Drosophila melanogaster: one gene and its partner. The protein of the gene in region 2 interacts with the protein of the main gene of each other region in a biochemical or structural test. Each region holds a gene or a part of one and is shown on either strand. Other genes may lie near its edges. The genes, in order: BicD and Rab6.

Evidence for each region.
Region 1: the proteins of Rab6 (region 2) and BicD form a complex in vitro, tested with the Drosophila melanogaster proteins (one study listed by BioGRID).

Annotation. Positions count from the first base shown.
Region 1 is NT_033779.5:17,470,102-17,475,047, forward strand, and holds the start of BicD (bicaudal D), read right to left. Parts: upstream 3,115-4,946; 5' UTR 2,224-3,114; coding exon 1,996-2,223; intron 1,752-1,995; exon of another isoform or gene 1,502-1,751; intron 1-1,501. Other genes in the region: Sgt (small glutamine-rich tetratricopeptide containing protein), read left to right, coding at 3,487-4,482. UniProt on the Drosophila melanogaster protein: This protein is essential for differentiation. It may play a role in localizing of Nanos (a maternal determinant) activity in oocytes. Functions redundantly with BicDR.
Region 2 is NT_033779.5:12,106,596-12,111,279, forward strand, and holds Rab6 (Rab6), read right to left. Parts: upstream 2,522-4,684; 5' UTR 2,205-2,521; coding exon 1,578-2,204; 3' UTR 626-1,577; downstream 1-625. Other genes in the region: ThrRS (Threonyl-tRNA synthetase), read left to right, coding at 1-167; Phae1 (phaedra 1), read left to right, coding at 3,048-3,860; Phae2 (phaedra 2), read left to right, coding at 4,553-4,684. UniProt on the Drosophila melanogaster protein: Protein transport. Regulator of membrane traffic from the Golgi apparatus towards the endoplasmic reticulum (ER). Mediates membrane trafficking during egg chamber growth and organization, possibly upstream of exocyst component Sec5.

The DNA of each region.
Region 1 (4,946 bases), 5.4 Mb from region 2:
GGCCCTCCTTCGCTGCCGTCTGCCCGCTGATTTATGTCACTTTATGCTGGGGTCGCCCGAGGCAGATATCTTGATTGCAAGTGGAAATATGTCGCCCAGTCTCCACATAGCTTCCTTTAAACCTCACCCCTTTTTTTACACTTTTGTGGGGACACAGAAAATGCCCGCAGTGACGTGGTCGTCGACGTTGCTATTATTTTTTTTGTAATTTTTAAGCATCCATTATAAATGTGTGTGTGTGGGTGGAGGGTTCTTTTGGCCTCGCACTCATTTTTTTATTTGTGTTCTCGTAAAAGTTCAGTTGAGTTCAAATCCAACAAGCTGGAAACTATCAAGCTACGTTACAAGTGCACTGCCACCTGTCCAACAATTAATTGGCAGGCTTTTTGTTCGAAGCGCATAAAAATGCATGCGCATATACGTATTACGCACATACATATGCCCATTTGTAAAAAAGGTGTTACCGCCTGCATTGTGTGTGTGCGTGTGTGCAGGTGTTAACGCCCCCGTAGGATTTTAATTCCAGCTAACTTTTGTTAGCCCCATGGTTAATGGAACTTTAATTGCACTGTTTGCTAATTGGGGATACTTAAAGAATATGAACTATATGTTTACACCAAAATCAAATCTAAAAATAACAAATGATTTTGTTAATTTGCGTAATACAGTAAACATGTGTATAATTGTTCTGATCTTTATTTAACCAGTTGTATTTACTGTATGCTTTATTTACCCTTCTCCAACAAAATCGGCCTAAACCAACGTTTTCTTTTGGCAACAAGCAAAACAAACCAAAAAGGAAGCTTGTTGGGACACCAGTCGGAAAAAGCCAAAGCACGAAATGATAATAGACGGCTGAATGAGTATAGACTGCTTCCCCCATTTGATTTTTACCGAGGAAAGGACACAACTTTTCCCTGCCGTCTGGTAATGCAGTTCAGAGCCCGACAATCCACGGCCTGTGAAAATTCCAGAGGAAATGCCAGGCGATGACGAGGACTAATTGGAAAGGAAGGTTGGTGGTAAGAAGAAAAGGAGGAGTTGGATGTGGAAGTGGAGGTAGTTGGGCACTGAATAAAGGTGCAAAATGAAATGGCAAGAGTAGATTGGCCGTGCTGCAATCGGCCAACTGAAAGCTGAGATAATTTTTATAGGCCAAAACAATGTTTATGCCAAATTGAGCGTGATCAGTGGAGACAAGATAAAGATAAAAAAACAAAGAAAACATAATTTTGAAACAATGAAATAATTCTGCCAGCCAAATGCATTTTAAATGTTTAAGTGTTTTCAATCAAATCAAATGAGAATGCTATAGTGTTAACTTTAAAGATCGCTTTATGATTTGAACAACACATATCATCTAGGATCACTAGAATAATGGCATCGCATGGCTTTTTTTGGCCTTTATACTGACGGACAGAAGGACACTTGGCTAGCGATTATGATCTATGATAAACATACATAAATACTTTTTGCGGTCGTAAAGGCTTTCTTTCAGCTGTTAAGTTGTGTTTTTCATTTTTTAGTTTATTTATTGTTTTGTTTAGCGGACTGAATAGTATCTTCAATCGACCCAAGCGGTTCCACTGTATTTAAAGGTATACAAAACAACAGCACGTGACCATATGGCCAAGCCAGTTTCCGATTTCATGATCAGAGAGCGAATCCCAATTATTTCTGCTAGACCAGACCAGACGGACTTTGCAGAGCGATAGGTAGACTCGCCGAAAGAGAGTCAAACTGGCCAACAGGTGAGCGAGTTAGTTTGCCAGCAAGACAAATTGTTGGCCGTTGTGGAAAGGTTTTCTCTGTCTAAATATGTAGGTGTGTGTGCCCCAAGGTGTGTGTGAGTACGCGAGTGGGCCAGCTGGGCGATAAGCGGCGACTGCTTGGAAACAGATCGAAAAACATAGCAACAGAGGGGGCCAAATTGGCGGGTTACTATATAACCCATTGGAGCATTTAAAAACTGCGAAGAATTGTAGGCAAACTTACCTCCTGTGTGATGTCCAGTTCGTGGCGCGTGTTGTCGTAGAGCGTCTCCAGTTCCTCGCACTTCTGCTGCAGGGCGGACTTCTCCTCCAGCAGGGACAGTCCGTACTGGGCGGACTGGGCGCTGGCGGAGGACACCTGGTCCAGTTCGCGCGTGAGGCGCTCCACCTCCATTTGCAGGTCTTGCACGGATTGGTCCGCCGATGGGCCGTTGTTGCTGGCGCTGGACATGATGATGGATGGATGGTGTCCTTAGTGGTCGGGGGAGGGGGTGATGGTGTGGGTGTTGGTGGACGGTACAGCTGCCCGTGGGCAGGTGAATCTCCTCGTTGTTGCTGTTGATGCTTCTATCCTGGGCGGAATCTTTTCGATACAATTTTATGTTTTGGAGGGAAATCGATAGAAGTCGATTTGTATATGCCGCACTGTTTTGTTGTACTTCAGTGCTTTTTTTAAAATAATTTTTTTTATCGAAACCCCACACTCACACAACTCCACTCGCGGTGTGCTTTTTGCGTGTGTGTGCGTGCGTTTCACCTTTTCTCTTTTCCGTTTGAATGCGAACGTGTGTGTGTGTGTGTGGAATGGTATCGCTGCGGGTTTTCTCCTCTCTTCACTCACCGCGCTAAATTAGTAAATTAAACAGCGCTTAATGGCCAATTAACCGTGGGCTTTTAACGGCAAATAATTCTGCACTATATTTATATATGCCTGTAAGTCACACACACACACCAGCGCACTGCCGTACGCACACATAGGCGCGTATAAAACAGTTGGCAGCAGAAACTGAAAACGCAGCGCAGGAAGTTGTTTCAATTAACTCGAAAAGAAACAGCCGAAATGACATCACACAATTTCCCCTTTCCTTTCGTTCGCTGGCAAAGTGGGAGTTTTTCCCATTTTCCCTGCACTTTCCCCGTTCGCACGACTGCTCTTCGCGTATTCTCGTTATCCGTTGCACAATTGCGGCGTAGACGGCTAAATGCGGTATATATCAGGCCCAATCGCTGCGGTCGTCGATGGAGTCGAAATTTTCAAGCAAGTGCAAAAACAAAATTTTGTCCGCAATCACGTCGATTCTTGGCAATGTTTGTGACGGAATTTCAGTGCGACCGCAGGCAAAACTTTCGATAATGCGGAGAGGTGTGGAGAAAAGCGTTAAGAATGCGCTTAGCTCGGACCCAAACCTCGCGTTGGTAATAATAATCGCGTTTCCACTACTAAGGGTATGATTTTATTTAAAATGCTTGAAGCAACAGATTTATTTTTATATAAAAATATATAATATAAATATAATTTAAGCTGAAACCAAAGTTTGTAAACAGCGTCAGCATTTCCCATACTATCAGAATGTTCGATATATGTCTCAAAAGTTATCGGGCCATGTAGCACATCGATACTCGATTTTATATTCACATTTCGCCTAATCACATTTACTTTTCAACTTGTCTGTCGATCGAAATTAAGCGAACAGAAATCTAAAGCATAACCAAAATGCCGGACGCAGTGCAGCAGAGTTTCGTGCGTAGCTTCATTGACTACCTGAAGAAGCAGGGGGACGTGATGTCGCCGGACCAGACCGAAAGCATCGAGGTGGCGATCCAGTGCCTGCAGGCGGCCTTTGACTTGGGCGATGATGTGGAGGCAGCGCCGGCTGCGGCTGGTGAGGAGCAGGCCACCACACAGAGCAGCAGCACTGCGAGCGCACCGGACGATGATGCGGTGGCCAGCGGAAGTGCTGGTATCGGCGCCGCCGCCGCCGCCGTTCCCAATAACATTGACATGTTCGAGCTCTTCCAGTCGCTGTATACAGAACGCAATCCGGAATCCCTGGCCCTGGCCGAATCCATCAAGAACGAGGGCAACCGGCTGATGAAGGAGAACAAGTACAATGAAGCACTGCTGCAGTACAATCGTGCCATCGCCTTCGATCCCAAGAATCCGATCTTCTACTGCAATCGGGCTGCGGCCCACATCCGGCTGGGTGAGAACGAACGCGCCGTAACCGATTGCAAGTCCGCCCTGGTGTACAACAACAACTACAGCAAGGCGTACTGCCGCCTGGGCGTGGCGTACTCCAACATGGGCAATTTCGAGAAGGCGGAACAGGCCTACGCCAAGGCCATCGAGCTGGAACCGGACAACGAGGTGTACAAGAGCAACCTGGAAGCGGCCAGAAACGCCAGGAACCAGCCGCCCCAAACGGGGCGATTAAGGGAAGACCTAATCAACATGCTGTCCCAGCCAATGGTTAGGAATTTGTTCAACAACGCCGAGATCGACGTGGAGCAGCTGCTGTCGATGCTTCAGAATCCAATGATCATGAACACCATTCGCCAGCAGTTCGGCGGCGGCAATGCCCCGACCCTGCCCAATGACATGGTGCAAATGATCTATAACATGACCAGCCAATTGACTGGCTTTCCCAATTCGAACGCAAATCCTGGCAATGAACAGCAGCCGGGCAATCAGCCACCACCGAGCACCTAGAAGTGGATAGAATCCCGATCCCCGATCCCTGCCTGGATCGGCGGCACACAGATTAAGTTGTTAAGCTGAAACTATAAATGTATTTATAATGTTTAAATGGCTTCTATTACGCATACATACATACATACATATACATTTTTATCCAATGGAAATAAATAAATGACCGTGCAAATTGCCGCTGTTCCAATCGAATTTTCAATGAATATTAAATATATATATTATAATGCCTCATATATTTTTCTAGTTGCCCGTCGTTAACAAAATTAAACAAGTATATCACACAGTGCATGTAATTTAATGTTGCTTTTATTGAATTCAAGAAATGTATGCTAGGGGTTTTTTTTTTGCTGATTTGCATCTCTAAATGGTACAATTGTTAATTTGATATTACATGTCAAATAAAAACTAATGGGTTTAAAACAAATGCCGATCTGTCGCAAACAGTTTGTCGCTTGAAAATCATT
Region 2 (4,684 bases):
CCCAGTTCAACTTCATTCTGGTGGTGGGCGACAAGGAGCGCTCCTCGAATACCGTTAACGTGCGCACTCGGGACAACAAGGTGCACGGCGAGGTCTCCGTGGCGGAACTCATCACAAAGCTGCAAAAGATTCGCGACGAATTCATCGCCAACGAGGACAGCTTCTAAGACTCTATTTCGAACTATTTATCAAAAGTATACTTAACATTTGCATAGCAAAGCAAGTACGCATTTTTGTTCTTTCTATGTATTTACGCTTACGAAACCGGAATTCACAAATAAAAAACCAAATCCAAACACATTTTAAGGTGTTTCAAATAGAAGAGAAGAGCATGCAATCAAATAAAAGCAATTCGATTCAATATACGATTATTAAGCTTCCCCAACTAAAAATCGTATTTTTCTGATCCACCTTAAGCCGCCTATTTCACTCCAGTTTCTTGACGAATCAGTGGAATTTGTCAGCAATTGAGGACTAGTCATGCCGACACAGAGGTGCGCTGTAGTCCATTCAGGAACGATTTGGAATGATAAGATAAGTCGGCCCACATTTGGCGGAAAACTTTTTGGGAAAGGTGTGCGTGCACCCACAACGTATGAGTCATGTTTTGAATTTATTTTTTTGTATTAATTTATTGCTAGTATCTTGTATACTTTTCATTTTCATAATTTGATTTATTAAAAATTGCATCAATAGTTTATGTTTTTATTCAATTATCAATTTTGTAAGCTTTTGCTTTTCGCGTAAAAAATGCACAAAGTTCTCTCGCTAATCGAAGCAAAAATCGTTAATAATATTGTTAAGTGTTTGCTCTGCTCGTGCTCTGCTTATCTGTTTCAGTTTTAGTCATAAAAATACATATTTTATATTTGTGTATATTTATTCATAAGATGCACGTGGCCAAGTCCTATGCCATCCACAGTTCCAGTTAGCAGTCGCGTTCGCTGTGCTAAAAAAAAAACCGAAATCCTAACCAAAACTGGCGAAACAAAAGCCGCAAACAGAACAGAACGGGGGCTAAAATTGGAAACAAAATGCCTGGCTGGTGGAATCATTGAACACAGACTGGCTGCGTGGTATCTACGACTGCTGGAGATGCCGAGAGCTGGAATGTCGGAGGATCCTGGGACCGCCTGGCCTGACATAAGTACATGGTCTTGGGTTTTTTTTCGTTTAGAGGGTTTAGGGGGTATCGGAAATGCACTACACTATATTCTTGTCTGGTAGCTAACTCGCAAATATTACTCTGATCTTGATCCCTGATCTCGTGTCAATGAGTTAGCATTCGCACTCGCCTGCGCTCGGGATTAGCTCGTCAATTAACAGTAATTAGTTAGCCGATTTCGTTAATTGTTGTTTAGTCTATTTGCCTTTGCTATCATTTGTTACTTTATAAATAAACTTAAACGTAAAGTGTGTATGTGTGTATAGATGTTGAGGAATCCGCCGCAGATCCGGCCAGTACATACACCTGACACCTGTGTACACCAGTGCTGCTGGCCGATCTCCTGCATCTGCATCTGCTCCTGCTGTTGAAAAAGGGGGAGAGGATGGTTGGATCGTCGGCTCAACCGGTTCTAGCAGGCGCAGCCGCCCTCGGGATCCTTTGTCTCGTTGGGTGAGTCCTTTAGCACAACCTCCTGCATGTCCTCGGAGGGCTTGTTCTCCGTGGAATCCATGCCGGGCAGTGCCGCGGCCACCCGTCGGAACAATTGCTTCACATTGTAGCCGGCCTTGGCGCTTGTCTCGATGAACATCACGTTAAGCTCCTTCGCCTTGCGCTCACCCTCCTCGGTGGACACCTGACGCTTGTCGGAGAGATCCGTCTTGTTGCCCACCAGCATGATGATGACGTCGCTACCCCGCTCCGTGCGCACGTCATCGATCCACTTGGAGGTCTGGTGGAACGAGTTGGTGTTGGTGATATCGTAAACGACCACTGCCACCGTGGAGTCGCGTATGTACGAGGGTATCAGCGAGCGGAATCGCTCCTGTCCCGCCGTATCCCACAGCTGCAGGCGCACAGTGCGATCCTCCAGGTACATGGTCTTCGATAGGAAATCAATTCCGATCGTCGCCTGGTACGTGTTGTCGAAGCTGTCGTACATGAAGCGCGTAATCAGCGAGGTCTTGCCCACACTCTGCTCGCCGAGGAAGACGAGCTTGAACTTCCGCAGCGGATTGCCAAAATCTCCGGATGACATCTTCCTCAACGTACGTGTCTACTTTTTCTTAATTACGGGTTTGCTGAACTCTCTTCTCGCTCCGCTCCGCTCTCACCAATCTCCACCCCTCCTCACTGTTTATAATGGGGCTGGGCCAGCGGTTTTCGGGGCCCTTTCGCACTGCGATTTCTCGGGATGCACCGCTTTCAAGTTGCCGCACTCTATTACACACGCTCTAAATGCTTTCCGTCTGGCTAAAGACTCAATTGCGGCTCGAATGGCTTGGTAAATCGCTAGGTTGAGTCGTGGAAAAATTACGGTCTCTGCTTCTTCTTCTTTAACTTCTGAGTCAGTTGCTGTGTGACCAGAGTGGCAATCAAAAGCAATTTCTCTGCCACGCTATCGATAAACGCATATTTGTACTAAATCGATGTTTTATGATTTAAAAAAAAATCGATTGATATTCGTTACCGTTATTAAATAATTTTAACTAAAATTTACCTGCTTAAAATGTTTAAATACTGATGAAGTACAAGGTAATTGCTTAACTTTTTATTTCATATTAAAAAGTGAATACTAAGTGTAAGAAATACTAACAGGTGATAACGCGATTTTCAAATATAAAGCTCTCTAAAGTGATTTGCTTGTTTTTAGATAAACGAGCGTAGGTATTTGCCCATCCTATCGGTGGAACTTGACGTACTTCTGTCAAAGAGTCACTGTTCGGGCGTCGCTTAATCTCAAATTATAATAAGTGGTTATCTGAAGAACACACGGTCCTTAATTGAAAGCCTTATCTGCTGGCGCTGGCAAAATTTTGGAATGGCGAATTAATTTAAACGTGCCGCGATAAAGGTCGATGTAAACAGTTCCGCGAAAACTATGTTAGCGAACGGACAGCAAACAAAGTCGTTGGCCAGTGGGCTTCTTCTCCTACTGGGCATATGCCGAATATCCGGAGTGGCTATCGGCGCACCCGAGGGGCGTGTCGTGGGTGGATCTCCGGCAGCGGTGAATAGTGCTCCCTATGCGGTGTCCATGCAGTACGGTGGCACCCATTACTGTGCCGCCAGCATTCTGAATGCCAACTGGCTAGTCACCGCTGCCCACTGCCTGACCAATAGTAACCAGGTGCTGGGCAGCACCTTGGTGGCCGGAAGCATCGCGGTGGACGGAACTGCAAGCACTACGCAGACGCGGAGCATCACGTACTTCGTGATCAATGACTTGTACACCGGCGGAACTGTGCCCTATGACATCGGAATGATCTACACGCCCACCGCCTTCGTTTGGAGCGCCGCCGTTGCCCCAGTGACGCTACCATCCTCGGGAGTGGTGCCCACTGGCACCGCCAATCTGTACGGATGGGGCAGCACTAGCACCACGAATACCGCCTCCTATCCGTCGACCCTGCAGGTGGCCACCAATGTGCCTATCATTTCGCTGAGCTCCTGCGAAAGCGCCCTGGGCACCAAGGGCAGCGATGTCCACTCGACCAATCTGTGCACTGGTCCTCTAACTGGCGGCGTTAGCATTTGCACCTCGGATTCGGGCGGACCACTGGTCCAGGGCAATGTCCTTATTGGCATCGTGTCCTGGGGCAAGTTACCTTGTGGTCAGGCCAACTCACCGTCGGTTTACGTGCAGGTCTCGTCGTTTATATCGTGGATATCGGCTAACCAGCAGGTGTCCTAAATAGTCGAGTTTTTCCCTATTTTTTCAATAAAAGCAATCAAATGTGTGTCCCTAGTGGCGGTCACTTAAATGTGGGACTTTCCTTCGCATCACAGCTACTATATCAAACAACGAGCTGTTTTTTAAAGTTTATCTTATCTCGTAAAGAGAGAGGAACACGGTGAGCAACCAACGAACAGATTTATATGCTTCACATATTTTCGGGCTGTAAATAACAATTTCTTACATTGCACAATAACAGAATAACGAACCGAATCATTGTGAAATATGTGAGTTAAGTAAATAATGTTGAGACTATGGTTTCAAAATCTAAACATTTCTTACCAGAACTAACCTTTTTAACAATGGTCTTATAGATATTATATTTATAATATTTTCCTTATCAATGGACGGGGATCCCCTCGAAAATACAGAATGACAAACTTGAGATATTGCCCTCAACACCCTTTTGCATCTATTCTCATTGTTGACTGAGTCTATCATAACAAGAGAGAAATATATATATATAAAATCGTATAATCTTAAGTTATAATAGGCTCTTATCTGAAAGACAAGGGCTCTGATTGAAAGTTCTTATCATATTCTCGGTTGGCTCGCATGAAATTTTTTATCACGAATTAATTTAAAAAGCCGTCGATAGTGCCAATGTAAACAGTTCTGTGAAAACCATGATTGCGAATGGACAACAAACCATGTGGCGCCATCGCCACCTGGCCACTATCCTCCTGCTGGCGGTGTGCGTTTCCCAAGGATCTGGATTAGCCTTGGACCAACCCGAAGGACGCGTTGTGGGTGGAAAAGCGGCGGCGGCCAATAGTGCTCCG